Ovis aries: one gene and its partners. The protein of the gene in region 1 purifies or fractionates together with the protein of each later gene. This does not show direct contact. Links are inferred from orthologs where the notes say so. Each region holds a gene or a part of one and is shown on either strand. Other genes may lie near its edges.

Region 1 (10,050 bases):
TAAGGGCATGGCTCAGAGTGGGACTATCTGGGTGACCCTGGGCGGGCAGCTTTCTTGCCATGAGCCTCAGTTTCCTCTCAAGTGACACAGGGAGGACAGTAGTCTGTCCCCACTAGGGTGATGAAAGGAGCCGATTTCTGCCAAGGGCTCCAGTTTGCTGACTCTGGTAAAGGCTCCAGGAACACGAGGTGTTACAGCTGGCAGTCTACAGAGTCCAGAGAACGGCACCAGAACACCCAGGGGTGTGAGTGGTCACAGTCAGTCCTTGGGGGCTTCAGGGGCCCCAGAGGTTGGCGAGAACCTGGTATCTCCTAGCCTTCTTTGCCTCCCTGCTCCAGATGGGGTGGGCTGGGCAGAGGGGCACGAGCAGGCTCACCGCTGCCCTTCTGCCTCAGAAATCCCGCTACGGCACATACGCAGCGCTGCTTCGGGTCAAGCTGAAGGCAGGCAGCGAGGAGCTGGATGCGGTGGAGGCAGCAGTGGCCCAGACTGGCGGCACGCAGGATGGACTCCCCCCTCCTCACTCCAGTCCCTCCCTGCTGCCCAACACCTCCAGCCAGCCCCGGGCACAGTGTCCTGACTCAGAGGCTCGGGCAGGGGCAGGCAGTGGGCGGTGGAAGCCCTGAGCTGGGGGTGGGAGTGGGGGGGCGGTGCCCACTGGGCACCTGCATGACACGGCCCTGCCTAAGCCCGGGCCGGCCTCGGGCCACCTGTGAGGGCCTCTCGGTCCAGGGCCTGACCGCGCCGGACGCGGTGTCCGGGGCAGGGCAGGGCTAGGGCATGGGCCTCAGGAGCCTTAGGCTAAGGGCCCCTCTGAGACCCCTTTTTTGTGATAATGTTTTGCACTTTTTCGTACAGGGGATGGGGGTGGGAGGGGCCAGGCCCCCTGGACTCTTGATGCTCCTTTTTTTTTTTTTTTTTTTTTGTGGGGGAGACCTGACGTTTCTGCTTTCTGCTGAGACCACCCCCACCCCTGACACCAGCAGTCCCCCTCCATCCTGGGGCCTGGCTCAGACACAAGCCAGGAGTTGGGGTTGAGCTGGTTTCCCTCCTTTTGCCCTGAGGGCTCACCCTCTCCCTTGCCAGAGGAGGAGGATGGATGTCCAAGCTGAGGCCCCGTGCACAGGCCAGGCAGTGCAGCCTTGCTTCCCTCCTTCAGTGGGCCCTGCCCTTTGTGTCACCTCCACCTCCATTAAAACTGCTCTCGACTTGCTGGCTGGGCCTCCTCCTCTCTCCCGTGCCTGGCCTGAGGCCAGGGTAGGCATTTGCTTCCCGAGGACAAGCGTCACACACATCAGGGGCTGCTGTAAGTTGGGGAGGAGGCCAGGCCCCCTCCCTTTCCCATGAGAATCTTTTATTTGCCCCAACTGAAGGGTGGGCATGGGGTGTTAAATAAGAACTGGAACAGGCAGGGTCACTGTACAGAGGGGGCCCGGAAGGGGCTGGTGGGTAGGGAGCGGTTCAGTGCACCTGAGGCTGGGGGCGCCCGTGGCAGAGCCCTCCTGGCGGCTCAGGGGGTGGGCCCAGCTTCTCTGTTTCCTGTTCCACCGACTGGCTCCCATAGGCACTGTCCTCCTTCACCTCTGCTGGGGGAGTGGACGCGGGAAAGGGTGCAGGGAAGCGTCAGGCCTTAGGCCTCCCACCCTCCAAGCCCAGATCCACCTCTCAGTTACGGCCCCTTTACCTGTGCTGGGCAGCTTTTCCTGGGTCTCTGGACCCTTCAGCAGCCTCACCCCCTCCTCCAGGCCCATGTCAGACAGGGCATTCAGCAGGCCTGCCAAGTCGCCACCAGCCAGCTGAGGAGAAGGAGGAGGCATGAACCAGGAGTTGTGGTTAGGGTGTGGGATCCCTGAGGAAGCGCCAGAGATCTGAGACTGGGGCATGGAGCATGGGCCGGGGCCTGACTGACCTGGTAACTGCGCAGGAGGCTGCCACTGGGCGAGGCTGTCCTTCGATACGTGTCCACCAGACTGCGCAGCCCCAGCCGTTCTGCCAGCTCCGCCCAGCTGCCCTGGGCTCCTGGCCCGTCAAGCAAATGCTCCAGGTTCTGTAGGACTGTATCTTCAAGGGGTATCTCTGGCCCTGAAGGGGACACACACATAAACATGTTAGTTACCCCCAGAGATGGCAAAGACAAGACACCCAAATGTCACCTTTATCTCAAGGCAACCTGATAGATAGTGCAGGCGGGGCCACTGGGGCAGTGGATGGAGGATGGGGATGGAGAAAGGGAGACCTCCTTCAGTGGTCCCGAAGGATAAGAGACCGCTGTGAGCAGGGGTCAAGGGTCTGGCAGTGGTGGGGGAGAGCTCTTCACCTGCAGGGCTGGGCGGGGTCAGCGGCGGCGCCATGGTGTCCTGAGCAGCGTTTAGCAGCAAGGTCTTCACCTAGGGAGACAGCTTCAGCCATGACTACCTCCCATCACAGTACTTGACCCCAGGTACCAGCTACTCAGGACCCCATGTACAAGCCCGGATGCCCCATCCCCTGGTACTGCTAGTCCTGGGCTGGCCTCACCTTGCTACTGCGAGTGAGGTCAAGAGGTGTGTGGCCCCGGAAGCTGCCTCGAGTGTCCCTCTCAGGGCTCTCAGAATCTGAGTCACTACCAGAGGTGGGAGGCGAAGGCAGTGGGCACAGGGGCTCCTCGTTCTCTGCGTGGACGTCAGCACCTGGGGGAGGGAGATAGTCACAGGGAGGCTCCCTCGGAGCCCACGTTAAGGACTGCAAAGTGCGGGATTGGGAGGTACCCCCTTTCCCCCGTCAGCCCTGTTCATAAGCCCCCGAGGGTGGGACTGACCAGCCTTCAGAAGGAGGCGGGTGAGGGTTGGGGATCCCAGTCCAGCTGCCAGATGTAGGGGTGTGTTTCCCGCAAAGGTTCGGGCATTCACGTTGGCCCGGAGCTGTGGGGTGCGAGGGAGGGGTTGATCATAGCACTGACTGATCCACTGGGCCTCCCCCGACACCTTCACCGTCCCCAGCCCTTGGCTCTACGTCTTCCACAGTCCTCAGTCCCACCTTGGTAACGAGATGGGTGACCAACCCCAGCTCCTCCATCTCTGTGGCTAGATGCAGGGCTGTCCGGCCCCCCTGACGCTCTGCAGCCTCCACTTCAGCCCCATTCTCCACCAGCAGATCGAGGCACTCGGGGCTTCGGGCACGGACTGCCAGGTGGACTGGGTATAGCCCTAGTGATACAGGGTATTCAGCCCGCAGCTCTGCCCCTAATGTGAGCCCTTGACCAGCTGACCTCCACACCTCACATCCACTGTAGGCGCTCCCCAGATCCTCTCCCTGGTGCCCACTCTTGCCCGCTGGTTCAGATGAGGTGATGAACTCACCTTCGAAGTCGGGCACATGCAGCAGTTGGGGCATGGCAGGAACCCCACTCCGCAGCAGGGTGCACAGCATGTCGGGGGCGCTGGCACCTGCCCGGAGTGCCAGGTGCACTGCTGAGTCTCCATGCCGATCCAGCAGTGCTGGGTCTGCGCCCACCTGCAGCAGGAAGCTCACCACCTTCGTCTGCCCTGTGATCACTGCCAGGTGCAGGGGCGTCTGGGGAAGGCAGGCAGGGTGAGCCAGGCCTGCTCCTTGCCTCACCTATCTGACTTCCAACCCCTCCCCCTCACCAAGAGACCCCTCACCTGGTGCAAATGATTGGTGATATTAACCACGCCGAGGTGTGGGGCGTGGTAGATGACGTGAGCTATTTGCTCAATGACGGTGGTCTGCCCGTGGATGATGGCCAAGTGCAGCGGCCTAGGGATTGGTGGGTGAGACTCTGGCCTAGGAAGCTCAGCAACTCGTTTTGCTTTACTCTCAAAACTCCACCACCTCCATAATCTCCCTCTCTCCAGCCCACGAAAGTAAATCCTTCCGCGCACCTTTTGTGGTAAGTGCGTACTATTACTGTGCCCCTTAATCGACAAAACTGAAGTCTACAGAGATTTAAGTATCTTGAACAGAACTAGAGCGTAGCGAGGCCGAACTTGAAACTGGGTCTCCCTAACTCCGGAGCCCTGGCTCTATAGGTCCCTTCCCTGCTCCACACCCCACGACCTTGCACCGGTGGCGTGCGGAACCCTGGTCCCCGCCCGCTCTCCCGCCCACCTACGTGTCTCCGTTCTCATCCTGTGCCGTCAGCAGGTGGCGCTGTCCCGCCAGCAGCGAGCGCGCGTCCGCCGTGACGCCGTAGTCCAGCAAGGCTCGAGCGCTGCGCTGCGCCAGGCCGAACAGCCGTGCGTTGTACTCCCGGGCTGGGGGTGACAGGGGGCGTGGGTGTGGGCTAGGTCCCCACCCGCAGCGTCCCGACCGCTGGGATTCCCGAGGTCATACCTCGATGCAGCAGCTCCGGGGCTTGCTGTTCGCGCTCGGGCGTCCCGGGGGGCGCGCTCGGCTCTGCTGCTTCCTCCCCAGCATCCACACTAGGCGTCTCGGCGGCCATCTGGGCCCCACCCCCTCCTCCCGGGTAGCAGCCCATGGGGGCCGCGCCCGACTGGTAGGGGCTGTAGGCCAAGGAGGAGGGGAAAAAGCCGAGGCTGCCACCTGTGGATACAGGCAGAACTGTGGGCAGAGGGCACCAGGAGGACTCTCCCAGATTTCTTCTCCACAACTTTTCTCCCCTTTATCCCATCCTCCTCCATTGCCCTTCCTGCCACCAGCACCACCTCACCTCCTCCTCCAGCTCCTCCATAACCCCCAGCCGAGCCCCCAGAGCCTCCACCCATGTGGGAGCCACCCCCAAAGGGCTGGGAGAAGGTGGGCAAGGCTTTCCTCCGCTTCCGCTGCACCTCCTCCTTGTCTAGGGGCAGAGGGAAATGAGATGTTAAAACCCCAACTCGCACCAGCCTCAAGAGCCCTGTCCCACTCTGGTAATGGCCTTTCCCCCAAAAGCCCTCAGGCTGGCTCCTAGGGCCACCTCTTTCTGGGACATTCCCTACTCCTGATTTCACTCATGAGTCCCCTGATCTAGTTCTTGAGACCTCCAGTCAAGCCCTGGCCTCCAGCCCCCCTGGGATCTTCAGCCCAGCTCCACCTTCTACCAGAGGATAATAGGTGAACTGTTTGGAGTCAGAGACATCCCCCCCACGCTTGCGTTTCAGTTGCAGGAACACGGTTACAGGACGCTCAATCTTCATCTTGTGATAGGGAGGTGTCCGGAACACAATGGCATACTGGAGGAAGGAGGACATAGGTGTCATTAAGGCCTTACTTAATTTGAGCCCAGACCCAGCCCTGGCCCTAGGGTACCTGTTTGTGAACATCTGTGGGAGAGAAGTCCCCAAAGGCTTGCCATCCATTCTCATCATCCTCGTAGAACCGAACCTCGATGTCATCTACAGGGAAAACTGAATCTATAGGGCCATTTGTCCTGAAGCTGTGTTGCTCCCCAAGCTTGATGCCCATCACTAGCTCCCAGCCTGGGCTCCAGCCTCACCTTTCTGCACCTTGTCACAGAGCAGATAAACCTCATCTCCACCCCGCACAGAGCCAGCTGTCTTGTCCATTCGAGAAATCTTCAGGTTTGAGGCTCCAGGAGACTCTGGAGATGGCATATCAGTTACTTGAAATGATTCAATAGCCATGGTCCCAACTAGGGAGCCAGGTGCTTTGTATTTTAACAACCGCAAGAGACACAGGAACTGCCAGTATCTTCATTTACTCAGAGAGGGGACGTGACTTGCTCAAGATCACTCAGTTCATACATGGTGGGCCCAAGTTCAAACCCAAGCGTATCTGACTCCACAGTTCGAGGCTGCCCTCCACACTCCCTGTGGCACCCAGACCCAGCACCCCAGGTGGTCAGGATACTCACTGCTGTCATGTATGGGCTGGGAGATAACTGGCTTCAGGGGCAGAGAGAAGGAGCCATCACTGGCTCGAAGGAAGGCAGAAAAGCGCAGTCGCACAATGCTCAGATCCATCACCTTCTTCAGTTCCTTGGCCTCCTGCTCCAACTCTCGACGCTCAGCCTCTGGGCAGTGGGCATACATGTGACCCCTGGACTCCTCCTCTATTCCTTCCATGACCACCTCCCATGACTCCCTCCATATCCCCCATACCCGTAAGGCCCTGGGGCCTGGAGCGAAGACGCTGCCTCTGAAGTTTTTGTATCATAATCTCCATCATGTTCTTTTTAGTCACATGGAGGACACCCAGGTTGTTAAATCTGTGTGGGGGCAGGGAGAAGTCAGAGGCCTTGCGGGCAGTTCTTTCCTCCTGAGGCACCCTACCCACCGGCAAGGCTCGGCCCTGCTCTACTTCCTCTAGGAAGCTTTTCTAGTTTTTACTTGGGGCCCTGGGTTCTGGGGCCAACCAGAGTCTTTCCCCTTGGTCAGATGCTAAGCTCACAAAGGTGGGCTGGGACCTAGGACTGGCAAGCAATGAGGGGCACACCAGTGGGGACCAGAGGTAGGGGGCACCGGACACCTACTGGGCAGTCATGTCCTTGGGCCCCACAGACACTGCGCAGACCCCCAGCTCCGAGCACTGTTTGCCCACCAGACTGTGAGCATGGGCACGAGGTGGGTCACTGTGTGTTACCAGGTCCACCTCAATCTTGGCAGGTCCCTCGTAGTTACAGATCTGTGAAGGGTGAGGGCTGTCAGTAATGCCCATGGACACACTGTCCACTAGCCCACCCTCCAGCACCACCCTGGCTCACCTTGACCGTGGGATAAGTCTTCCGGCCCTTCTCGCTAGAGGCACCTGGCAGTCCTCCATGGGAAGGGCCTTCACAGCCATATCGAAATCGGAAGCCTCGCTGAAGGTGCCAGGGCAGAGTGACATTGTGACCAGGAGAAACATCCCCCCTCACCAGCCACATCCCCAGCCAGCAGTGACCATAATGACTGGACGTATGTATCCTGAATCACCACCAGGCCACTGTGATCAGCAGCTGCTAACAATCCCAACCCGAAGTGGGTCTGTGATCAGTTACCCTGCCCGTGGCCACCCAGCTACAACTGTCCCACTTGCCCCCAAAATTGAAGCCATCCCTTCTACTTGCTCACCTGCTTAGGCTGTTCCACAATCACCAGGTAGGGACCATCAGCTGGGGACAGAGGAGCCTTGCTGAGCCAGGACCTCTGAGCCCATTCCCAAGACAGAGGGCACACACACCACATGCTCCTCCCTCCTCCTCCCTCCCGCTCCCTCCAAGACAAGGGCAGGTCAGGGGACTTATTAACCTGTCTCTGGGGCTGGCTCCTTGGGCTCCACAATGGACGGGTTGAATTTGAAATCATCATATTCAATGATGCCATCCAGACCCTGGTATGGAGACAGACTGAGATGGCAGCTGATTCTGAGCCACCCCCAGAACCCTCCACCTCTCAGCTCTCTAAACCATTAGCAATCACCCCCTCTCCTAGGCAGGCCCATAAAAAAGCTCCTACTGAAACCAGTTTGCAGAGACTGACTTACAGGCAGGGTGAAATAATCTGAGGACATTAGAGGTGCAAGGGAGTAGAAGGGACTAGGACAGGCAGGCAGACAAGCAGACAGGCACAGGGGGGCAGCCGGCAGGCTTTGAGGCCAGGCGGCGTGACTCACTGGGTCGTAGCAACTGTCCATGACTCTGGGCTAGGCCCGGCTCTGTCCGGTGGCTTCGGCCGGGTTCTGTTTCCCAGAGTTTCAGGCGCCCGCCTTAGGTGGGGAGGAGTGGCGGGTGTAGGGAGAGATAGATCAGGACGGGAGTTGGGGGGAGAGAGGGGCCCAAATTTAGGGGAGGGTCCGATCTCCTCCAGCTACCCGTCCGGGTGTGGCGGGCAGGATCCGGTGGAGGGCGAGATCCGGAGTTGGGCTGGGCCAGGCCGGGGAAGGGGCAGGAAAGTTAGAACAGCTTAGGAAAGTCCCGAAAATACCAGGGGGAGGCGGGGCCAGGGGGCGGGCCTGGAAATGACGCCACTGACCACGCCCCCGGGCGGGAGGGGCGCGAGGTCGTCTCTTCGCTGGCCGGAGAGCGCCTGCAGCGTCTCTGCAAGCAGAGGGGCAATCAAACCCAGGGAAGGCCCCGCGGGGTTGGGGGGGCACCCCCCTCCTCTCTCCAGGCCGGCGCCGGGGACTGGGGGTCTTTCAAGGCCGGAGGAAGCTCCTAGTCCGGGGACCGGCCCCCCCGCCTTCCCCCTCCTGGAGCAACCTTGGGATTTTCTACCCTCAGGGAGGCCACGGCTGATTCACCCCGGGGGGTTTTGGGGGGACATTCCTGCTGTAGGAAGGCCTCCACCCCGAAGGCCTGTAGGTGGGGGCTCTTCCGAGTAGAGGGCCCCGGGGTTCTGTCCCGAGAAGCAGTCTCTGAGGCCAAGGGGCCGGAGGGGGTGTTGGGATGGGCACCTCCATTCCCTCTTCCCGAAAATCTCAACAGTCGTTGATTCCCACACCGCACCTGCTTTGGGTGCCCCGCCCCCGCCCCTGTCCCATGGCCGTATGTAACACTTGTACAGGTGTCTAATATGTTTCAGCCCATGTGCTTGCGCATTGTGTGCATGGCGTGGACATGCGTGTACAGGTGAGAGTCCTTAAGCTTATTAGTGTGGACACATGTCAGCGTGTATCTGAGGGCACAGGGGAACCTGTCGTTGAGTTTCTGCGTGGAGGGTGTGTGTCCAGGCACCTGTGCACGGGTGAGTGTGTTTTGCGTATGCATGTATGTGCGAGTCTGAATGCATGGGCGATCCTGTGCACCTGCGGCATACGTGTAGATGGACGTACGGCCCATATCTTTGTACAGGATATCGATGTGTATCCGCATGTCCTGTTCGTATGCGCGCTCTCTGAATGCGCAGATGCCGCTCTTCAGCTCTAAGGCTCGGTCAGCTAAGGACCCTCCTCCCGCCCTTGCCGGTGTCCCACCACCCAGGGGTCTGAACCCGGCCACTCACCGCGGCGGTGGCTCCGGTTCAGGATTCTCTCCCGGCCGGACCCACCTCGGACGGGTCGCGACACCTCTCCCACCACCAGGACTCCAGCCGGGAAAGCCCCTTTTCCGCCCCCGGGAGGGGGGAATTCCCGTGACGTTTCCGTGCGTCACTCGCCATGCCCTTTTTCATTGGCTGAAAGTTTAACTCCTGGACTTACACAGCCAATCGGGAGTGACTCAGGGGCGCCCCTTGGAGGAGAAATATTTGTGTAGCTCTGGAAGCCAGAGTGAGAATGACCCTCAGACAGGCACTAGCTCTAACCTGGGGACCACCCCGCTGCGGGATCCGCTGACCGAGCGCCATTCCCCAGCCGAGGCACCTGGCTCCGGTCTCCTCACACCCAGGCCTGTCCAAGCCGGCTGGCAGCCCCTGCTGCTACTCGGTTTTATGCTGCGCCTAATGCTCGGCCACCTCTGAAGTCGGGGAACCCCAGGGGGAAGCTGATATGCCTCAGCCCCTCTGGTCCCGCCCGGAGCGGGGCCCGGCTGCCGGGAAGACTTAGAGGAAGAGGAAGGAAGTTAATCTTGCAGTAGGTTCTAGAGTGCCATCTGGTGGCCCCTCTGGAGCCTCAAGGAGACTCCATAATCCTCTGTCTTCCCGGGAAGAAAGTGTCTGGACCTGAAACTTGTTTTGTAAATGACAGGTTAACAGCTGGCCAGACTTTCAGACCTGAGCTCAGGAGGTCTTCCGAGGATAAGGGAAAGGAGGTATTTATCTGGGAGACTCAGGCCTTGCTCATCGATCACGGAAGTTTGGAATATTAGAGTTGAAAAGTCATCCAAAATTATTAGTTCAAATGCCTTTGATGTAAGAAATTACCTTTTTATATAGTTTTCAATGTCTGCTTACTTTAAATATATATATATTTGGCTGCACTGGGTCTTAGCTGAGATCTTTGTTGAGATCTTCTGTCTTCATTGTGTCTAGTTCCCTGACCAGGGATGGAATCTGGGCCCCCTGCATTGGGAGTGTGAAGTCTTAGTCACTGGACCACAGGGAAGTCCCTGCCTGCTTAGATACTTCTAGCAGCAGCAAGGTCAGTACAGATTTTCACAAAGTATTGACCTCTGGGGCTGGACATTTCTGGTTGATAGAATTTCTTTTCGGGAGGTGCCATGAATAATCTCCATTT
Region 2 (10,803 bases), about 1.9 Mb from region 1:
CTTTGCATACAGGGATTGCATGCCCTGCATTTTTGATGTCTGTTTGGAATCATCTGGGGAGTGGTCCACATCTTATAATTCTTCTTTTAGTTTTATCCTACTCATTATGCTTATTGCTTTGCAAGGTGAAAAGATAGAAATGAAACATTGGTTATTTTAAACTGTATATGACATTCTCTTTGGTGCCACTTCCATCCTTTTTTTTCCTCTTTTTCTCCTGAAGCTTATAACCTTGAAATCAGACCAGCAGTCTCATAGGTCCTGTCAGAGGATGGATGGATGGTAATAAATGATTCTGATCATGACTCATTTCATTTTCCTTTTTTGACTTTGTTGAGCATATTTTATATATCATATAATTTAACCATTTCAAGTGTACAATTCAGTTTGTTTTTTTTTTTAGCAAACCACCCTAATTGCACAGCCATCATCATAAATCAGTTTTAAAACATTTCCATGTCTTTATGTTCTTTAACTACTAGTATCCATTCTGCCCACCCCAGAAAATCACTAATTTACTTACTGCCTATATAGATTTGCTTTTTCTGAACATTTCATACAAGTGGAATCTTAATCCCTTGTGTCTCATTTCTTTCACTTACCGTTATGTTTTTGAGATCGATTCATGCCATAGCATATATCATTACTTCATTCCTTTTGATTACTGAAAAAGTATTCCCATTGTATGTTGTTGTAACTTTTTGCTTTTGCCCTTTTGGGTCTGTTGACTGTTTTCACTTTAGTCCATACTACTGTTACTTATTTTCCTTAAATAAAAATTTAGACCTTAAGTCTGTGAGATGTTTGCTAATGAACTTGACTTCACAGTTGGCATTTCAAAGTAGGAAATTTGGTGGTTAGGTGCTTAGAGAACCTAGAATTTTCAAGAATCTTTTCTTCTTAATTGTTGGTTTTTTTTTTCAGAGGGGCTGTGATAGCTATATGGTTTATTTGTTTGATAAAAGTAAGACTGTATATGAAGGACCATTTGCTTCCAGAAGTTTATCTGACTGTGTAAATTATATTGGTAAGTATAGTTCATTTACTGACTGAGCTTTAAACCTGAAGTAATATAATTTTGACACGACATGATTAGTAGAAATGGTTCTTTGGTGTTTCTGTTCTGTGTCATACTTCAGGATTCTATATGTGCTAAAAGATGGGTATGTATGGTTTGGAAGGTGAAGAGGTAGATTTTAAATCACCACCAGACCCCTCATTTGGCAGAAGACGACTTTCCTATGAATATGACTTTCACGTGAAAAACTGAATCTTCACTATTAATTAAGCCCACTTTTTAGTTTCTTCACTACTTAAGCATGTTCAAATACTTCATTTTATCCTATGAATACTACTTAATGTTCAAATGATTTCATTTTTCCTCAGAGAATTAATGTTTTCTACTAAAGAAGTAAGTGGTTAATTTCTATCTACCCAAAACTAAAAACAAGCATATTATAAAATCAAGGACAAAATTGGTCACAAGGGCTGAAATGATGTAATCTTTCCTTTTCATTAGTTTTAAAAAAAGTTCTAGATTTATAGAAAAATTGAGCAGATAGGACAGAGTTCTTATGTTATTCCCCTGCACATATAGTTTCCCCTGTTGTTAACATCTTACGTTATTATGGTACTTTGTTACAACTAATGAACCAATATATTGTTATTAACTAAAGTTCATACTTTATTCAGATTTCTTTTAGTTTTTATCTGGTGTCCTTTTTCTGTTCTAGAATCCCATCCAGAATACCATGTTACGTTTAGTTGTCCTGTCTGCTTAGGCTCTTCTTGGATGTGATAGTTTTTCAGATTTTCCTTATTTTTGATGACCTTGAAAGTGCTGATCACATATGTTGTAGGATGCCCCTCTGTTGCAATTTGCCTGATTTTTTTCTCATGATTAGGCTAGGATAATGGGTTTTTGAGAGAAAGATCAAAGAATTCAAGTGCCATTTTGAAAACATTATATAAACGGTACATACTATAAACATGATTAACGACTGTTAGTGTTACCTTGCTCACTACCTTGAAGTAGTCAGCTTTCTTCACTGTAAAGTTTAGTCTTACCCTCTCCTCCTTTCAATACTCTGTGGAAGGAAATCACTGTGCAAGAATCCACACTTAAGGAGTAGGAGTTACATGCCTCCTCCTTTAGGGTAGAATGTCTATATAATTTATTGAAAATGCTTCTGCTTACATGAATTATCTCTTCTCTCCCATTTATTAATTTATTTAATCATTTATGATATAAATTTGAATTCATGGATATTTATTTTATATTATAGATTATAATCCAATACTAGTTTATTTTGTTATTTAAATTGTTGCAGCTTACCTTAGAAGCTCTTTCACTTGACTTCCTATGCCTCTTCTACTTGACCCATCAGTGAGGGTGTTTTTGTTTTTGCTTTTGTTTTTTTAAGCATTTCCTTACTTTCTGGTACCATGTAGTATTCCAGGCGCATCTTTTAAATTTTCTACCATAGTCCTAGAATTGGCCATTTCTCCAAGGAGCCCTGGTTCCTTTAATTGAGAACAGCATTAGAAATCAAAATTTGGATACTTGGTATGCTTCTTGCTACTGGGGTATCATTTCTGGGCACTTTCAGACTTTTTTTTTTAATATATAATTTTTTTCTAGACTCTCTTCCCCTAGACTATCTTTTTTTAAGTGTGTGAGTTTTTATTTTGTTTTGTTTGTTTGGTCTGTCAGAGGAAGCCTCAGGATTAAGTGTGGGTATGTAAAAATAGAAGAGAAGTTAGTTGAGGCTATTTATCATTATTAGGGGAGGCAAAGATTTTTCCATATACACAGCTTTATTTGTTTGACATCTGTTTCAGATAATGTGTTTTCTCAATGTGAAACCTATTGTAGTGCCCTGTCTCTGAAGATTTTCATTGGAAAAGAATAACAGAATATAATCACCACCTTAAAGTACGAGATGAATCTCTCTTCAATCTTGGAGAATTTTATAATGTTAAAATGAAATTTCATTGAACTTATTATCTACCTGCCATGGTTTTAGAAAGAAACATCCCCTTTACCTAAGAAAACACAAGAGATTATCATAAATAGATAATTTCATAAGTCTTGCATTGAGAAAGGCATATCTTTTAAGGCATATTTTTAAAGGCATATTGTTAAAGGCATATTTACCCAGTGTGTTTTTCTGAAGCTGGGTTGGTAGTTCAAGAGATGAAATTTGTTATTCAGAAGCAAAAAAGACTATAGCAGATTGTAGAGTACTTGGGACTTAGTTTAGCACTTCAAAAGAATAAATAATTTGGATTATTGGAGAGGGAAAAAAAAAGAGGATTCCGGATTGGAGAGAAACAAGGAAGAAAAAGACAGATACAGGAATAATTGTAAGCTTTGTGATTATGTAGTAATTATGTCTTCATTTTTATTTCCCCTTGTATCTGGAACAGGACTCAAGTAATGTGCAGGTGTTCAATAAAGTTACACTGACTGAATGGAACTGTAACAAGTGGTTCTTTCTAGCATCTGGTTTCTAGCATCTATAGGAATATTTGTATGGACAGAAAATCACAAAGAATAATAAATGAACACTAGAATCTTAAAAAGTAATTCCCGTCTCCTTTCCTCCATCTTCTTACACATAGTACAGGACAGCAAAATACAGCTTCCAATTATCCAGTTGCGTAAAGTTTGGGCTGAAGCAGTACACTATGTGTCTGGGCTGAAAGAAGACTACAGCAGGCTCTTTCAGGGACAGAGAGCAGCCATGTAAGTGAATTGTCTTGTTTATAGGCACAGTGTCATGTGCATTCATGCTCAATTAAATTTTGCTACTTTTCCCTAGTCAATATCCCATGCAAAAATATATTACTGGGCCGGTTTGTAATGTAATATTCTGATGAGGCATGTAGAATTCTTATTAACAGTCTGAAACCATCCAATTGCAGTAGACTAACAGTAGTTCCTGAATGGTCCTAGTATAAGAAGATTGTTTTATCATAGAGTATCACAAGCAGAAATTCTTTAGAGATGAGATTCTAGAGATAAGCTGTTTCTCATAGATTGATAATAGGAACATAGGCTTTGGGCTTATGGCAGTTCGAGTTTTTAAACTTTTGTAAAATGCTTATATCTTGTTTTTTTCTTGCTGTGGTTTAGGTTAAGCCTTCTTAGATACAATACTAACTTGACAAAAATGAAAAACACTTTGATCTCAGCATCTCAGCAACTGAAAGCAAAATTGGAGTTTTTTCACAAAAGCATTCAGCTTGACTTGGAAAGATATAGTGAGCAGATGACGTACGGGATATGTAAGTGTTGGATAATGTATTTGAAACAAGTGTCTTGTCTCTTGAAGCCATCTGCTATGTTACCTTCTTACCTGTTAGCCAGTTGTTTCACTTGCATTCATATTAGAACAAAAGATAGGACATCTCATATTATTGTAAACTGTATTTGGTTTGAATATTAGTTGTTTTTTTTTTTTAACATTTAGTTGAGCAGCTTTACTCTGCCCACCCCTCACCCCCACAATTGGACTAAAATTGCTCGCCTTTAGAAAAATGCAAAATGATTTAAGAATTTGATTGTCAAACCTCATTTAAAAAATAGATACAAAGTCTGTATTAGGGTGACTTCTTAGCCTGGGATGTCTTAAATTACTTACCCTTCTATAAATAATAATACATGCAATTTCAGGGTTTTTTTTTAAAGTTTCTAAACAACCTACTGTGGAGTCCCATTGTTTTTTATTGTACATAGCCTCCAATGTTTTGGTATTTAATTCTAAGCTTATCTCCCTTCAGATGTACTAAGGAAATGTAAAAAGCAGAGTTAAAATTCAAATAATAAACCAAAAGAGTTGCCTTCAGCATTTCTGTTTGTATACTTATCTTGAGCAAGGTGTGTATATTTCAGAATTAAATGATCAACAGTGTCCAGCTGGGTAAATAAGTTTTCTTACCAAAGCTGGTTCTATGATTGATATTTTATTTCTGTTTGTGTATTATAGGCATTCTGATGAATAGCAAAACATAGTTATTTCATCAGATTTTCTTTGACTTATCTTACTAAGTTGTATATCTTAGACTACTGTTTAAAAAGAGTGAGGTAGACCTCTGTGTGCTGATATTAAAAGATCACTTGATCTTTAAGGCAGCAGTGCTTTAAGCTGGAGGAAAAAGCAAGGAAGGAAAAGTATATAGAGATGATTCTATTTATGGGAGAAAAGGAGATGTGTCGCTGTAAGAAATGATTAACACTGGGATCGCAGAAAGTGGAGAGTGGAGGGGAGGAGACTTCTATATCTCTATATAGTGTTTGATTTTTTAAAAATACCATGTTCATGTATTACTTTAAAATTTTTTTATTTTTTATTAAGAGAAAGTCATCTGTATTAGTTTCCCAGGGTTGCCATAACAAATTGCGATGAACTGGGTGACTTAAAACAATATAAATTTATTATCTCACAGTTTCAGAGGCTTAAAGTCTAAAATCGATGTGTTGTCAGGGCCATGCTCTCTCTGAAACCTATGGAGAAGAATCCTTCCTTAGATTCTTCTGGCATTCCTTGGCTTGCAGCTGTGGCACTTTAGTCTCTGCCTCTGTTGTGAAATGGCGCTTTCCCGTTCATATGTCTGTTGCTGTGTTTCTTCTTCTTTTCTTAAAAGGACACTAGTCATACTAGGTTAAGACTCAACCTTAATTTAGCTAATTGCACCTGATGCTATTTCCAAATAAGGTCAAATTCTGAAGTACAAGGTTAGGGCTTCACCATCTTTTGGGGGAACAATTCAACTCATAACTCTGTTTTTGATGTTAATATGGCAAGGAGATGGGTAGGTCAGTAATTAAACCTATGGCTATTTCTGAGATAACCAATTAAGACTTTTTTTTTTAGCCTCAGAAAAAATGTTAAAAGCTTGGAAAGAAATGGAAGAAAAGGCTATCCACTATGCTGAGGTAAAATCACTGAGCTCATTCTGTGTGCTTATTAACTCCTGAGGTCTCCCTTAGAAATTCTTTGGTTTTGGTTTGTAGAGTATTTCTCATATCATTCCTGAATATCAGACAGATACCTAGTATGTGTATGTAGAGGGAAGTACCACAGTGGATAAAAACAAGAGCTTTGGGTAAATGAGACTAAAATGAAGCCTCACTGAGCCTCAGTTTCCATGTTATATTATGGGGACCTTTTTTAGTGGGGTTATACAGATTTAAGTGGGAGTGACTAATAAATGGTAGTTATCACTGTTATTTTTAAGACTGGTTTTGATAGGATGGCTGGACACATCCTGGTTTACTCGGGACAGTTTTCGTTTACCTCTCTTGCCTTAATTATCAATTAGTTAAGTTAGTTAAGTGAAAAACGCTCAGTCGTGTCCGACTCTTTGTGACTCCTGGACTATACAGTCCATGGAATTCTCCAGGCCAGAATACTGGGGTGGGTAGCCTTTCCCTTCTCCAGGGGATCTTCCCAACCCAGGGATTGAACCCAGGTCTCCCACACTGCAGGAGGATTCTTTACCAGCTGAGCCACAAGGGAAGCCCAAGAATACTGGAGTGGATAACCTATCCCTTCTCCAGGGGATTTTCCCACCAGGAATTGAACCAGGGTCTCCTGCATTGCAGGCAGATTCTTTACCAACTGAGCTATCAGGGAAGCCTTTATTATCAATAATACTCTCAAAATTTTGCTGGTTTGGACAATAAATTTTTTATGGTCACACTATAGGTGGCAGATTCCTTCTTTACCTGGTACATCTGTCTGTGGTCCCGTTAAATTGTTGCTCTCCTTGATGCCAGCACTTCCTGAGGAATGAGTGTGGCAGTTGGTATCCTGGGTTGGGAAATCCAGTGTCTTTATCTTTCTGCATCCTTATTCAAGTTGGGAACAAGAGACACTGAAAATTGTAGAACCAAGATGCAGTGGTATTGATAGTCACTTTTACTTATTAGTGACACTTCTGTCTTTTTCCTTCTCAGGAGGAGAAAGAAAATGCTAGTAGTCTACTGTTGTCAGGAGAGAAGCCTGAAATAAGTTGGTTCTCATATGAAAGTTACATGCCATAATCTGAGAGACAAACAGACTTGAACAAAATCAGTGTTTTACATTAAATCACTTTGTTCTGTTACTGTAAGAAGTTATTCTCTGAGTTCCTCATATTGTGTGGTGGTGAGCCTGTCATTTCTTTTGTGTTTCATCATATTTTAGGTGGGTGTCATTGGATACCTGGAGGATCAAATCATGTCCCTGCACACTGAAATCATGGAGCTACAGAAGAGCCCCTACGGACGACGTCAGGGAGACTTGATGGAATCTCTGTAAGGGTGAAGTCATGTTGTTAGTGTTGGTGTCTGTAATTTTTGGTAGCAGATTATTCTTTCATTGTATTTCTGGAAGATTATATGTGGTTCTTTTCTATAGTTTTCTTTCCACAAATACATTGGCATCATATTTAAAAAGGAAGTTTTTTCCTAATCACAGGAAATTTTGGCAATAACTCTTTGGGTTGATGTTTACTATTTATTTTAAAAAAACTTTTTATTTTATATTGGGGTTATATTATAGTTGATTAACAGTGTTGTGATTAGTTTCAAGTATATAGCAAAGGGACTCACCCATATATATATATATATATATATATATATATATATACACCTATTCTTTTTCAAATTCTTTTCCATGACCTTTGCTTTTTAAACCGAAGCATCTTTTCATGTGAGTGTTACTAATTTTTCAAGTATTTTAAGTTCAAACTATTTCCCTACTTACCACACTTCTGGTTTAAGGAAGGTATCATTTATTAAATTCCCTAAATAAGGTTAACGTCCTAAGTGTTTGGATTAGAAACTTCAGATTTTTTTTTCTTTAATCACAGGACATAATTTTTTTCCCATTTAAGTGTTTCTGGTGCAGAGATACTATATAAGTGATGGTAGATCAGAGCAGATACTTAGTATATTAAACTTTGCATCTTAAGATCTTGCTTATTACCCAGCGAAACACCCTGTAAAATATTCGTTGGCAATATATAATTACTTGAAAATAGGGTCGTTACTCTATTCAAATAATATTGTTCATTTCAAGTTGGAAATAAAAAGTCGTTAAACTATCTTCATGTTTAGAACATGTTTTCTCTTTCATAGGGAACAGCGTGCAATTGATCTATATAAGCAGTTAAAGCACAGACCTTCAGGTAAGACACTTTCACAGTACACAAAGGTGTTTTAGGAAACCATCACTAGCTTAACAAATCTGTGAAACTGGATTTTAAGCAAGCTGCAGAATCAATTCCAGTTTTGGTATTGCCATTGAGATGTTTAGGGGCTTCCCTAGTGGCTCAGTTGGTAAAGAATCTGCTTGCAATGCAGGAGACCTGGGTTCAGTCCCTGGGTCACGAAGTTCCCCTGGAGAAGGGAATGGCAAACTACTCTAGTATTCTTGCCTGGAGAATTCCATGGACAGAGGAACCTGGCAGGCTACAGTCCATGGGGTGGCAAAGAGTCAGACATGATTGAGCGACTAACACTTCAGCTTCACATTGAGATGTTTATAGTACAACAGCATTTAAGTCTGTGAGAATTTAAGAAATTAGGAAGGCAAAGTAATAAAGTTTGAAATAGAAAAGTTTTTAATATATTTATTTTTAATTGAAGGATAATTGCTTTACAGTATTGCATTGGTTTCTACCAGACATTAAAATGAAACAGCCATAGGCTTACCCATGTCCCCTCCCACTTGAACATCCCTCCCACCTCCCTCCCCATCCAACCTCTCTAGGTTGTTACTGAGCTTTGGTTTGAGTTCCTGAGTCATACAGCAAATTCCCATTGGTTATCTATTTTACATATGGTAATGTATATTTCCATGTTACTCTCTCCATACCCTCCACCCACTCCTTCTCCGCATCCCCCCTGCCACCCTAGCCATGTCCATAAGTCTGTTCATAATGTCTGTGTCTCCATTGCTGCTTTGCAAATAGGTTTTGTAGTACCATCTTTCTATATTCCATATATATGTGTTCATTTCAGTTCAGTTGCTCAGTCATGTCTGACTCTGTGCAACATGGACTGCAGCACGCCAGGCCTCCCTGTCCATCACCAACTCCTAGAGTTTACTCAGACTCAGGTCCATTGAGTTGGTGATGCCATCCCACCATCTCATCCTCTGTCGTCCCCTTCTCCTTGTGCCTTCGATCTTTCCCAGCATCAGGGTCTTTTCAGATGAGTCAGCTCTTCACATCAGGTGGCCAAAGTATTAGAGTTTCAGCTTCAGCATCAGTCCTTCCAATGAATATTCAGAACTGATTTCCTTTAGGATAGACTGGTTGGATCTCATCTTCTCCAGCACCACAGTTCAAAAGCATCAATTCTTTGGTGCTCAGCCTTCTTTATAGTCCAACTCTCACATCTGTACATGACTACTGGAAAAACCAGAGCTTTGACTAGATGGACCTTTGTTGACATAATGTCTCTGCTTTTTAATAAGCTGTCTAGGTTGGTCATAACTTTTCTTCCAGGGAGCAAGCATCTTTTAATATGGCTGCAGTCACCATCTGCAGTGACTTTGGAGCCCCCCAAAATAAAGTCTGTCACTGTTTCCATTGTTTCCCCATCTATTTGCCATGAAGTGGTGGGACCAGATGCCATGATCTTAATTTCCTGAATGTTGAGTTTTAAGCCAACTTTTTCACTCTCCTCTTTCACTTTCATCAAGAGGTTCTTTAGTTCTTCTTCACTTTCTGCCATAAGGGTGGTGTCATCTGTATATCTGAGGTTATTGATATTTCTCCTGGCAGTCTTAATTCTAGCATTTCTTATGATGTACTCTGCACATAAGTTAAATAAGTAGGGTGACAATATACAGCCGTTATGTACTCCTTTCCCAGTTTTGAACCAGTCTGTTCTGTATCCAGTTCTAACTGTTGCTTCTTGACCTGCATACAGATTTCTCAAGAGGCAGGTCAGGTGGTCTAGTATTCCCATCTTAAAGAATTTTCCACAGTTTGTGTGATCCACACAGTCAAAGGCTTTAGCATAGTCAGTAAAGCAGAAGTAGATATATGTGTTAGTGTATGTTAATTGTTTTCTCTTTCTGACTTAATTCACTCTGTATAATGGGCTCTAGGTTCATCTACCTCATTGGGACTGACTCAAATGTGTTCCTTTTTATGGCTGAGTAATATTCCATTGTGTATATACACCACAGCTTCTTTATCCATTCATCTGTCAATGGATGTTGGGTTGCTTCCATGTCCTAGCTATTATAAATAGCTGCAGTGAACATGGGTTACATATGTCCTTTTCATTTTGATTTCCTCAGGGTACATGCCTAGTAGTGGAATTGCTGGGTCATATGGTGGTTTTACTCCTCGTTTTATAAGGAATCTCCATACTGTTCTCCATGGTAGCAGTATCAATTTGCATTCCCACCAGCAGTGCAAGGGGGTTCCCTTTTCTCCATACCCTCTCCAGCATTTATTGTTTCTCAATTTTTTGATGATGGCCATTCTGACCAGAGTAAGGTGATATCTCATTGAAGTTTTGATTTGCATTTCCCTAATAATGAGCGATATTTCAATTTAAGTCTGAATTTGGCAATAAGGAGTTCATGATCTGAGCCACAGTCAGCTCCCGGTCTTGTTTTTGCTGACTGTATAGAACTTCTCCAGCTTTGGGTGCAAAGAATATAGTCAATCTGATTTCGGTGTTGACCATCTGGTGATGTCCATGTGTAGAGTCTTCTCTTGTGTTGTTGGAAGAGAGTGTTTGCTATGACGAATGCGTGCTCTTGGCAAAACTCTATTAGCCTTTGCCCTGCT
Region 3 (10,903 bases), on another chromosome or scaffold:
CTGGAAGGGGTGGAGGTGGGGTGATGAGGCCCCAGAAGTGGGGTTAGGGAGGGGAAGAGGGGATGACACCAGGGTTCCGGGGAAAGGCTGTGGCTGGGAGGTGGGCCCGAGGGAGTGAAGGGCAGCGGGGAGCGTGCTGGGGGCGCGTGTGGGCTATGGGACAGGCCGCCTGTGTTGGAAATCCAACTCTGCAACTCGAGAGGAGCGCGGCCTCCTGTGGGTGACTGCGTTTTTCCTGAGACTCCGCGCTCCTCCTCTCACAAGTGGAGCTGGAGGACTGAGGAAGGCCACCTGGAGGGCTGTGAGAAGTGAGTTCCTATGTGAGGCTCTCAGAACAGCCCTGGTTGGGGGCAGCGGTGGTGGTGAGTGCTCAGGAAGTGCTTGTTACTGCTCTCATCACCTCCCATTGTCCACGTCCTCACCTCATATCCCCTCCAGTCCCCTGCCCTGCCCAGCCACCCCGCAGCCCGCATCACCTACGTCAATAATGCTGGTAGAAATGCCTCAGTCCTCACCCTGCGCCGTCAGCCCTCTGGCTTAAAGCCTCCCCACTCCACCTTTCCAACCCTTCCGTCTCCTTTATCAACTCCTCTCCTCGGCCAGGCGCCCAAATCGCGGGTCTGGGACTCTGTCCCAGGCCCTCCCTCCCGTCTCTGTCCGCCTTCCCTGGGCCAGCTCCCCCATGCACGCCAGTGGTCTCAGCCTAGTTTCTGAGGATGCCACCTTTCTGTCTCCAGATCCAGGGTTTCTGCAGCCCCCAGATGCCTCCCCTAAGTGTGACCCCAGACCCCTCGCTCTCACGGTGTCCCAGACTGGCCTCAGTATCTCTTCCAAACTTGCTCCTCCTCCTGGGGCCCTAACTCAGTGTGGCTTCTGTCCCCGTGTTTGCCAGATGTCTCCTGCCTCCCTCACCAGCCCTCCTGCCATAGCATGTCCCCTCCCCGGAGCTCCACGTGGGCCAGCCTGTCCCTCCAGGGGCCCTGCCCCGGCCTCCGCCCTAGCTCCCAGTCTCAGTCTCCATCTCTGATCGACTCTCCTCCTCTCTCTGTGTTGACCTGTCTGGGTCCACCCTTTGCCCTCCACGTCAAAGACCTTTCTCTTTGGCTTCCCCAGTTTAATCATCGGATCACAAACATCTGTGGCATTTACCATGATGCCCGCTCCAAGAAGTCTGGGATTTTTCATGGTCACCACTGGGTAAAAATGTTTGAAGTCCCTCAGTCGTGTCTGATTCTTTGCAACCCCATGGACTGTAGCCCGCCAGGCTCCTCTGTCCATAGGATTCTCCAGGCAAGAATATTGGAGTGGGTTGCCATGCCCTTCTCCAGGGTATCTTCCCAACCCAGGTCTCCCACATTGCAGGCAGATTCTTTACTGTCTGAGCCACCAGGAAAGCCAGGTTTCCTTGCTTTAAGATTGTATCTATAAGCTTTACAAAACTCTGACCATTAGGCAATGTATAACTTGAAGGTGCTTGCCTCCTGAGTCCTTCACCCACAGCCCCGCCTCCCCCACCCCATCCTCCCCTTCAAGATAGCCACTATTAACAGTACAATGGTAACTACTCCAGATTTCTTTCTCTGAATTGGCGATGGACAGGGAAGCCCGGCATGCTGTAGTCCATGGAGTCGCAGAGAGTTGGACACGACTGAGCGACTGAACTGAACTGAAAACTCATTATTTCCCCAGAAATGGGTCACCCCATAGTACAATGCTGCGCCTCGCATTTTCCACCAAACAATATATCACGGACCCGCCAGCTACAGAGTGTTGCATTGTACGGTTCATAGTTCATTTAACCCATCAACTGACAGTCGTTTGGGCTGTTTCCAGTTTGGCTGTATTGCACAATGCTGCAATTTACACCCTCGGATCTCTCTCTTTGGGACTGAAGGTCCCTTTTCCACATGAAACCTTTTTCTCTGACAGTGGCCAGGCTTTGGGAGCTAGCCGAGGGAGAAGCCTGGCCTGACAGGGAGCTCTTGTCCCCTTGGTGTGGCTCGGCCGTGCATCTGTGGGGCGCTCTCGTCACAGCTTCTGCTCTGCCCTACATGTGAACTGCGACCTCGTGTCTGTGGGTGGGCTGGCACGCTTTCAGGCTGCAGACAGAGAAGCTCTGTGGAAGGAGGCGAGGGCCCTGCCCAGCACGTGGGAGCAACTTGGTCTCAGGGGGAAGCTGAAGGTGATGGTGGAGCCTCTGTGACCCCTGCTTCCAGTGAAGTGTCTGGGAGGCAATATGTCAAGGCACCGAGGGTTGCAAACCTGTCCCTGCTCTTCTAGCCAATGGACAGAGGACAAGTTGTTAAAGAACTCAGTTTCCAATTCCTTGGCTATAAAATAACCACAGTAGACCTGTACTCCTCCCCTCCACCGCTGCCCCCAGGATGCTAGGATGCCCATCAAATAAGCAGAGTACTCAGTTGGCTTAAATACTCAGTAAGTGCTAACCATCAAGGTAATCAGCCACCTGAATCCTGAACGCATGACACTCTTTCATGCCCCCCAGGATACCCTCTGCCTGGGACACCACTTCTCACCTTACCTAAGAAAATCCTAAGTTACTCTCCACTGACTACCGTGTGCTGTATCTCAGTCTGACTCTGAGATCAGCCTGTGGACTCTTGCCGGGAAGGGATTGGCTGGAATCTGTGTGATCTCACACGGTTTACTCTGCGCTCCCAGAGTGCCCTGCGCTACTTTCATGATCACCAGTAGAGTCAGTGTCGAGTCACACGTCTGTGAGATCTGTGAATTCAGGAGCCAAATCTCTTCCACGCCCACTGGGAACGAGGTTCAGGAGGGAAGGTGGGTAGGAGGGGTGAGCAGGGAGAAAGGAAAGTTTGCAAGGGCAGGCCTAGGCTTGAGGCCGCACACCCTTCTCTGACAGGCCCCAGAACCCTCCATTCCCCCAGGAGCTAAACCACAAGGTGAGCCGGGGTGAGGAGCTGGGGCAGTGAGCTGAGGGCCCTGGGGTATCTGACTCCCCTCTGCCACCTCCCCCCAGTGTGGGGTGTGGGAAGTCCATCTCTCTCCTTCCCTCCACCCTTGTCCCCATCTCACCTGAGCCTCCTGCACCTTCCCTGCCTGGGTCTCCTCAGGGTCAGAGGCTGGGGGAGGAGGGGGAGCAGACGTGGTTACAGTGAAGGGATTGGTTAAGGGGGAATGAAGGGCTTCTAAGTCGGGGTAGAGAGGGGCAACAAGACCTCCAACCTAGTTATATGGGGTGGGGGTATCAAAAGGGAGTAGATGGAGGGAGGGAAAGGAAGAAAAGCAGATCTTATTAGAGTGGAGAGTGCTGGGAGGAGAGGTGGTTGGTGAAGGACAAAGAGGCTGGGACATGGAGGCTTAGGAAAGCGAAAAGAAAGTAAAGCATATAAGGGCATGAAGGAAGACTTAGGAGGAGTTAGGAAGGACACAGTAGTGTGTGAGTGTGTGCTGGGAGGGTTAGGTTTACAAGCAGAAGAAAATGTAGAAAGAAAGAGAAGATAAGGGATACTGGGGCTGGAGGCAAGTTTGCAAGAAGAGGTGGTGGGGGCGGAACGGAAGGGCGAGATGGCAGGTTTACAAGAGGAAGGAAGAGATAGGAGGGGACACCAGGGGTCCCCAGCACCCTACAGTTCCCACTAACAACCAGGTACCCTTAGCAACCCGGACAGCGGTATTCTAAGTCCCTAGTAACAAGGGTCCTTAGCAACTAAGGTGCGAGACACACGCTATCATTAGTCACTTAGGGGAAGTGGCAAACGGACCCTTAAAACCTCGAGACCCAGAAACCCACCAATCTATCCAGCAATATATATCACAACGGCTCCCTGAACCTCATTCCCCTCCATGCAGCCCCCATCTCCTGCCCCACCACTCCCGCCCTCGGGCCCCGGGGCCTGCAGCCCTCAGCCAGGCCCCGGCGCGGCCCGACCCTCCCACCAGGGCCCCCGACTCACGATCCGGATCGGCCATGGGCGCGGGGCGGGGGCCCTCGGGACTGTCACCGACTGCTCTATCCCGTGACGGCACCGGAAACAGGAGGGGGGCAGAGATAGGTCAAAGAACTACAACTCCCAGGAGGCATAGAAAAACGTCCGGAGCGTGCCCCTCTGAGGTAAGAAGAGACACGCGAGAGCCGGACTACGAATCCCAGAGTGCCTCGCGTCCGCAGCCATGTTGGTAAAGGGCGCGCGGAATGAGTGGGAAAGGGTAGAGAGTCGCAGTCCATCTGAATACTCTGATTGGTCACGGTGTAGTATGAGGGCGGGGCGCTTACTATTTAGCCGACTCTGATTGGATGAGTCCGGGGGGAGTGTTGGGGAATTCCCAGCAGGGCGGAAGCGCCAGAATTCCAGGCAGAGCCCAGCGACTGGCGGGCAGCCGCTGGGGTCCCCTGAGGCTTTGGGGGCTATGGCCGGGGTCGCGTGTTTGGGGAAAGCTGCGGACGCCGATGAATGGTGCGACAGCGGCCTGGGCTCTCTGGGTCCGGACGCGGCGGCCCCTGGAGGACCTGGGCTAGGCGCGGAGCTGGGCCCGGGGCTGTCGTGGGCGCCCCTCGTTTTCGGCTACGTCACTGAGGATGGCGACACGTGAGTGAACCTTAGCCTGCCACACCGAGCCTTAGGATGATCCCACATCTGATTCCCTGTTAGTCCCTGATACTGATTTTCCAACCTCTTAATCCTAAATCTGTCTTCTAATGCTTACTCTGACCTCTAACCCCCGAGTCTAACCCTTGATAAAATCAATTTCCAAGCTAGTTTTTATCATAACCCCGTCCTTTCTGAAACTTTGGCCCTCAGAGTTTCATATCCATTGACTAATTCCACATTCAAAACTCAATTTGAGCTTCCTGACCCCAGTCCTGAGACCTATCTTAAAACTATAGCTCACAGGCTCCTTCTGACATCTCACCTCCAAATATGATCTTTGATCCTTAGCTCCTAATTTAGGAGCTTTAAATTTTGATTTCCAAAATTAACATTTGGCTTTTGACTCTAAGATCTCCCACTTTCTGAGCACTGATCTTCAAATCCTACATTGAAAGAGAAAATGTAAACTCTATGACAGCAAGGATTCATCTGTTAAACAAGTATTTATCTAGCACCTACAGCGTTTCAGGCCCAGTTGTAGATGCTGGTGATAAAGCAGTGAAGAAAGCACAACAACTTATGCCTTGTGGAGCTTACGTTCTAGTGTGGGGGGTCTATAAATGGAAGGGCAGACAGACTGACAGGAAGGAAGAAAGGAACAGTAGGAGAAACAAAAAAGAAAGAGAGAAGGAAAGAAAGAAACAGAGAGCCGTATAGACACAAAGTAAGAAAGAGAGAGGAGAGAGAGAAGAAACAGGCAGAAAAACGAACGAAAGAAAAATGGTGTGTCAGAAGACAGGAATTTCCTTGGTGAAAAATAAAGCAGGAAAGAATGAGACAAGTAGATTATCTGGGGAGAGTATTCCAGGTAGAAGGAACGACGTCATAAAGACCTAATTGAGGGAATGTACCCGGGGTTTTTGTGTGTTGTGTTTACTGCCGTAGCCCCAGTGACAGAACGGTGTTTGACCCATAGGAGGCGCTCAAGAAACACCGGTCTTCCCAGAGAACCAGCTGTGCTTTCATTTATTTTCTCTCGTCTCTTTTTTTGCTTTCTGTTGTGTTTATCTCTGTTTTGACTTTCGTTATTTACTTTCTTCTGCTTACTTTGAGTTTATTTTTGTTCTTTTTCTAGTTTCTTAAGGTGAAAGCTGAGGTCATTGATTTGAGGCCTTCCTATTTTTCTAATATAGGATTCATGTGAATTTCCCGAAGTAGTGCGTGAGCTGTATCTCATCACTTCTAATGTGCTGTGCTTTCATTTCCACTTAATTCAGTATAGTTTCTAATTTCTCCTTTGATTTCTTCTTTGGGCGGTGGATTATTTAGGAGTATGTTATTTAGTTTCCAGATATTCCGAATACCTTCCTTTTATTGGTTTGTAGTTAAATTCTATTGTGTGTGCAGTTGAAAAGAATGTCTGGTATCTTGTTGTTGAGTGTAGTTCTCCAGATGTCAGTTAGAGGTTGTATGGGTTTCTTTTCTAAAACTTTTATTGATTTACTTTTGGCTGTGCTTCGTCTTTCTTGCTGCCCACGGACTTTCTCTAGTTGCGGTGTGAGGGCCTCTCATTTTGGTGGTTTCTCTTGTTGCGGAGCAGTGTCTCTAGGGCACAGGCGCAGTAGTTGCTTCGCGTTGGTTTAGTTTCCCCGAGGCATGTGGGATCTTCCCGGATTAAAGACTGAGCCTGTGTTCCCTACCTTGGCAGGTGGATTCTTTAGCACTAGACCTGTAAGTCCTGTGCTGGTTTCTTTGGTTCTTCTCTTTTCCAAGTCTATTATATCCTTGCTGGTAATTTCTCTCTACTTGATCTATCAGTTACTGAGAGTAAGGTATTGAAATCTTTAATAATAATTGTGGGTTTCCTTGTTGTTTTATCAGGTTTTCCTTCATGAGACTGGATGCTCTGTTATAAGGAGTGCAAATGTTTAGGTTTATTGTGTCCTCTTCCTGAACTGACCTCTTTATCATTGTGAAATAATCTGCACTATCCCAGGTAATATTCCTTGCTCTGAAATCTTACTCTTATTTTAAAACACTCCTACTTACTTTTGACTGACAGGCGTTAGTATGGTATATCTTTTTCCATCTTTTTATTCTTAACTTAGTTTTAAATTTATTTGAAAAGCTGTTACTTGTATAGTTAGGTTTTGCTTTTTAAAAAAAAATGTTTATTTTTAATTTATTTGGCTGCATCGGCTCTAGTTGCAGCATGTGGGATCTTGTTCCCTGACCAGGGATTGAACCCTGGCCCTCTGCATTGGAAGTGCAACGTCTTAACCACTAAACCATCAGGGAAGACCCTAGGTTTTGCTTTTTTATCCACTCTGACAGCTTCTCCTTTTTTAAAATTTGTGTTTATTTAGCTGTTTCTTTTTGGCTGCACTGGGTCTTGGTTGCTGCACACAGGCTTTGTCTAGTTGTGGCGAGCGGGGTATGCTCTCTAGCTGTGCTGTGCAGGCTTCGCATAGTGGTGGTCTCACTTGTTGGGGAGCACGGGCTCTAGAGCACACAGGCAGTTGTGGCACGTGGCGTTAGTTGCCCCACGGCATGTGGAATCTTCCCAGACCAGGGATCAAACCCATGCCCCCTGCCTGCCATTGCGTTGGCAGGCGGATTCTTAACCACTAGCCCACCAGGGAAGTCCAGTGTCTACCTTTTAATTGGAGTGTTTAGACTATTTGTATTTAATTAATTATTGATATGGTTATGTCTGTCATCTTGTTATTAGTTTTCTACTTATCTCTCCTTTGTTTACCTTTTTTTCCTGCCTTTTGGAATGAGCACATTTTGTTCCATTGTATTTGTTTTGTCGGCTTGTTACCTTTTACTCATTATTTTTTATTTTACTGGTTGCTGGGAAAGATAGGTTGGCAAACTGGTTTCCAGGCAAAATCCAGCCAGGCACCAGCTTTTGTATGGCTGTGAGCAAAGCATGGTTTTTTACATTTTTAACTGGTTGGAACAAAATCAAAAGAAGAACATTTCATGGCAAGTGAAAATTACATGAAATCCAAATTTTAGATTCCGTAAAGTAAGTTCTGTTAGAATCCCGCCGCGCCGCCCATTCATTTATCAATACATATCACCAATGGCTGCTTTTGTATGCTAATAGCAGAGCTGAATAGTAATAGACAGACCATAGCATCCACTAAGCCTGAATTATTTATCTGGCCCTTTACAGAAAATGTTTGCTGACTCCTGCTTTAGGGCTTCTCGTGGCCCGTGGGCTTAGTACACGCTCCCCAACCAGGGATCGAACCTGCGTCCCCTGCATCGCGCGGCAGATTCTTCACCACTGGGCCACCAGGGAAGCCCCCACTTTACCTTTATTATGTGCCACCTTCAAGTGCTGTTGTGCTCCTTCTCATAACATAAAAGAACCTTAGAATCGTGTGTTTCCATTTGTCTCTTCCTGGCCTGCAGTGTGTTGCTGTCACAGATTTCCTTTATCCATGTATTCTAAACTTCAGACGTTGTTACTTTTGCTTAAACACTCCTTTGTTTTTAAACCCTATCAGAAGATAGGAGATTTACATATTGAGAAAGAAAAAATCTTATGTACTTACGCATATAGTGACTGTTTTCAGGGTTCTTTATTTTGTTTTCCATATTTTCATTTGATGTCATTTTCCTTTTTGCTCACAAGTTTCCTTGAACGTTTCTTGTGATGTGGGTCGGCTGGTGATGAGTTCCTTCAACTTTTGTGTAGTGGAAAGCATGTATTTTTGTCTCTGTCTTTGAAAAATATGTTGGCTGGGTTAAAGAATTCTAGGTTGACAACCTGTCTTTGAGTACTTGAAAGAAGCGGCTGTGCTGTGTTCTCTTGCATTATTTCCTTTGTGAAATCTGCTGTCATGCTTATTTTTATTCCTCTGCACTTAAGGTATCTTTTCCTCTGACTGCTTTGAAGGTATTTACCTTTATTGTTGGTTTTGAACAGAGTTTCCATGTTGGGCCCTGGTGTGTGTGTGTGTGTGTGTGTGTGTGTGTGTGTGTGTACATGTTGGGCCCTGGTGTGTGTGTGTGTGTATGCATGTTGGGCCCTGGTGTGTGTGTGTGTGTGTGTGTGTGTGTGCATGCGCATGTTGGGCCCTGGTGTGTGTGTGTGTGTGTGTGTGTGTGTGTGTGCTAAGTCGCTTCCGCTGTACCTGCCTCTTTGCGACCCTATGGACTATGGCCCACCAGGCTCTTCTGTCCGTGGGATTCTCCAGGCAAGAACCCTGGAGTGGGTTGCCATGCCCTCCTCCAGGAGATCTTCTGACCCAGGGATCAGACTTGTGTCTCCTGCGACTCCTGCATTGGCAGGCAGGTTCTTTACTGCTGAGCCACCGGGGAAGCCCCATGCTTACCTCAGTTACAGATATATCGGGCTGCTTATATACAGATAAATCCCATGGCTCACTGACGTTCTTTCTATTTTTAAATATTTCTCTTTGTGTTTCATTTTGGACAGTTGCTATTGTGAAGTCCTGACGTTTGCTAATCTATTTTCTGCAATATGTAATCTGTTGTTAATGCCATCCAGCATATTTTTCATTTTAGGTGCTGTAAGGTTTTGTTTTTTTTTTAATGTTTATTTATTTGTCTGCACCAGGTCTTAGTTGCAGCGTGTGGGATCTAGCTCCCTGATCAGCGATTGAACCTTAGCCCCCTGCATTGGGAGCACAGAGTCTTAGCCGCTGGACCACCAGGGAAGTCCCTGTGTCGATTTTTTTGGTGGATTTGAGATGGGCATGAAACCTGGTCCGTGTTACTTCTTGGGAGAGAGTAGAAGTCCTACTTAGTAAACATTGGAGACCTCCCTGGTGGTCTAGTGGTTAAGACTCCATGCTTCCACTGCAGGGGGCGAGGATTCCATCCCTGATTAGGGACCTAAGATCCCATATGCGGCCAAAAACAAAAACAGAAAAATGAAATAAAACACCAAAGAAACAAAAAGTACCAAACCAAACCAAAGCAAAACAAAAAAACACATTGATTAAATAAATTTGCTGAGTTAACTCTGACCTGACCCTCCCAGATTCCTGACGGCTGGTTCTAGAGCTGTGGGTCATCACGCTTTGCACAGTGGGTCCTCCATGTTTGCTGAAGGAATGAATGCAAGAGTGCTTGTCCTCATAAGAAGGAAAACAAACAAACAACCCCTCCACCCACCAAAGAAAAAATCCCCAGTTCAGTTCAGTTGCTCAGTCGTGTCCGACTCTTCGCAACCCTATGAATTGCACCACGCCAGGCCTCCCTGTCCATCACCAACTCCTGGAGTTCACTCAAACTCATGTCCACAGAGTTGGTGATGCCATCCAGCCATCTCATCCTCTCGACCCCTTCTCCTCCTGCTCCTAATCCCTCCCAGCATCAGGGTCTTTTCCAATGAGTCAACTCTTCGCATGAGGTGGCCAAAGCATTGGAGTTTCGGCTTTAGCATCAGTCCTTCCAATGAACACCCAGGACTGAGCCTCTTTAGGAAGGACTGGTTGGACCTCCTTGTAGTCCAAGGGACTCTTAAGAGTCTTCTCTAACACCACAATTCAAAAGCATCAATTCTTCGGCACTCAGCTTTCTTCACTGTCCAACATTCATATCCATACATGACCACTGGAAAACCATAGCCTTGACTAGACAGACCTTTGTTGGCAAAGTAATGTCTCTGCTTTTGAATATGCTATCTAGGTTGGTCATAACTTTCCTTCCAAGGACTAAAGTGAAAGTGAAGTTGTTCAGTCATGTCCGACTCTTTGTGACCCTGTGGACTGTAGCCCACCAAGCTCCTCTGTCCATGGAATTCTCAAGGAAAGAATACTGGAGCAGGTTGCCATTTCCTTCTCCAGGGGATCTTCCCGACCCAGGGATCGAACCCGGGTCTCTTGCATTGCAGGCAGACGCTTTACACTCTGAGCCACCAGGGAAGCCAATTTCCTGGCTGCAATCACCATCTGCAGTGATTTTGGAGCCCCAAAAATGAAGTCTGACACTGTTTCCCCATCTATTTCCCATGAAGTGATGGGAACAGATGCCAATATCTTAGGTTTCTGAATGTTGAGCTTTAAGCCAACATTTTCACTCTCCTCTTTCACTTTCATCAAGAGGCTTTTTTGTTCCTCTTCACTTTCTGCCATAAGGGTGGTGTCATCTGCATATCTGAGGTTATTGATATTTCTCCCGGCAATCTTGATTCCAGCTTGTGCTTCTTCCAGCCCAGCGTTTCTCATGATGTACTCTGCATACAAGTTAAATACGCAGGGTGACAGTACACAGTCTTGATGTACTCCTTTTCCTATTTGGAACCAGTCTGTTGTTCCATGTCCAATTCTAACTGTTGCTTC

The links.
Region 2: the proteins of NFKB2 (region 1) and CHUK purify together in Homo sapiens (affinity purification with western blotting; 4 studies listed by BioGRID and IntAct, with this or other methods). This does not show direct contact. The link is inferred for Ovis aries from reciprocal best matches to the Homo sapiens genes NFKB2 and CHUK.
Region 3: the proteins of NFKB2 (region 1) and NFKBIB purify together in Homo sapiens (affinity purification with mass spectrometry; 4 studies listed by BioGRID and IntAct, counting the BioPlex papers as one, with this or other methods). This does not show direct contact. The link is inferred for Ovis aries from reciprocal best matches to the Homo sapiens genes NFKB2 and NFKBIB.

Annotation. Positions count from the first base shown.
Region 1 is NC_056075.1:22,789,239-22,799,288, reverse strand, and holds NFKB2 (nuclear factor NF-kappa-B p100 subunit), read right to left. Parts: upstream 9,297-10,050; 5' UTR 9,180-9,296; exon of another isoform or gene 7,863-9,179; intron 7,834-7,862; exon of another isoform or gene 7,645-7,833; 5' UTR 7,573-7,644; coding exon 7,552-7,572; intron 7,270-7,551; coding exon 7,188-7,269; intron 7,052-7,187; coding exon 7,011-7,051; intron 6,761-7,010; coding exon 6,662-6,760; intron 6,583-6,661; coding exon 6,431-6,582; intron 6,167-6,430; coding exon 6,060-6,166; intron 5,972-6,059; coding exon 5,813-5,971; intron 5,540-5,812; coding exon 5,435-5,539; intron 5,352-5,434; coding exon 5,248-5,351; intron 5,172-5,247; coding exon 5,033-5,171; intron 4,799-5,032; coding exon 4,670-4,798; intron 4,543-4,669; coding exon 4,333-4,542; intron 4,254-4,332; coding exon 4,112-4,253; intron 3,757-4,111; coding exon 3,642-3,756; intron 3,553-3,641; coding exon 3,339-3,552; intron 3,186-3,338; coding exon 3,016-3,185; intron 2,901-3,015; coding exon 2,798-2,900; intron 2,670-2,797; and 11 more. Other genes in the region: PSD (PH and SEC7 domain-containing protein 1), read left to right, coding at 396-626. UniProt on the Homo sapiens protein: NF-kappa-B is a pleiotropic transcription factor present in almost all cell types and is the endpoint of a series of signal transduction events that are initiated by a vast array of stimuli related to many biological processes such as inflammation, immunity, differentiation, cell growth, tumorigenesis and apoptosis.
Region 2 is NC_056075.1:20,890,659-20,901,461, reverse strand, and holds part of CHUK (inhibitor of nuclear factor kappa-B kinase subunit alpha), read left to right. Parts: intron 1-924; coding exon 925-1,027; intron 1,028-3,624; coding exon 3,625-3,748; intron 3,749-4,138; coding exon 4,139-4,290; intron 4,291-5,879; coding exon 5,880-5,941; intron 5,942-7,193; coding exon 7,194-7,303; intron 7,304-8,128; coding exon 8,129-8,178; intron 8,179-10,803.
Region 3 is NC_056067.1:47,979,109-47,990,011, forward strand, and holds the start of NFKBIB (NF-kappa-B inhibitor beta), read left to right. Parts: upstream 1-4,330; 5' UTR 4,331-4,395; coding exon 4,396-4,574; intron 4,575-6,802; exon of another isoform or gene 6,803-6,875; intron 6,876-10,903. Other genes in the region: SIRT2 (NAD-dependent protein deacetylase sirtuin-2), read right to left, coding at 3,061-3,107, 3,942-3,957. UniProt on the Homo sapiens protein: Inhibits NF-kappa-B by complexing with and trapping it in the cytoplasm.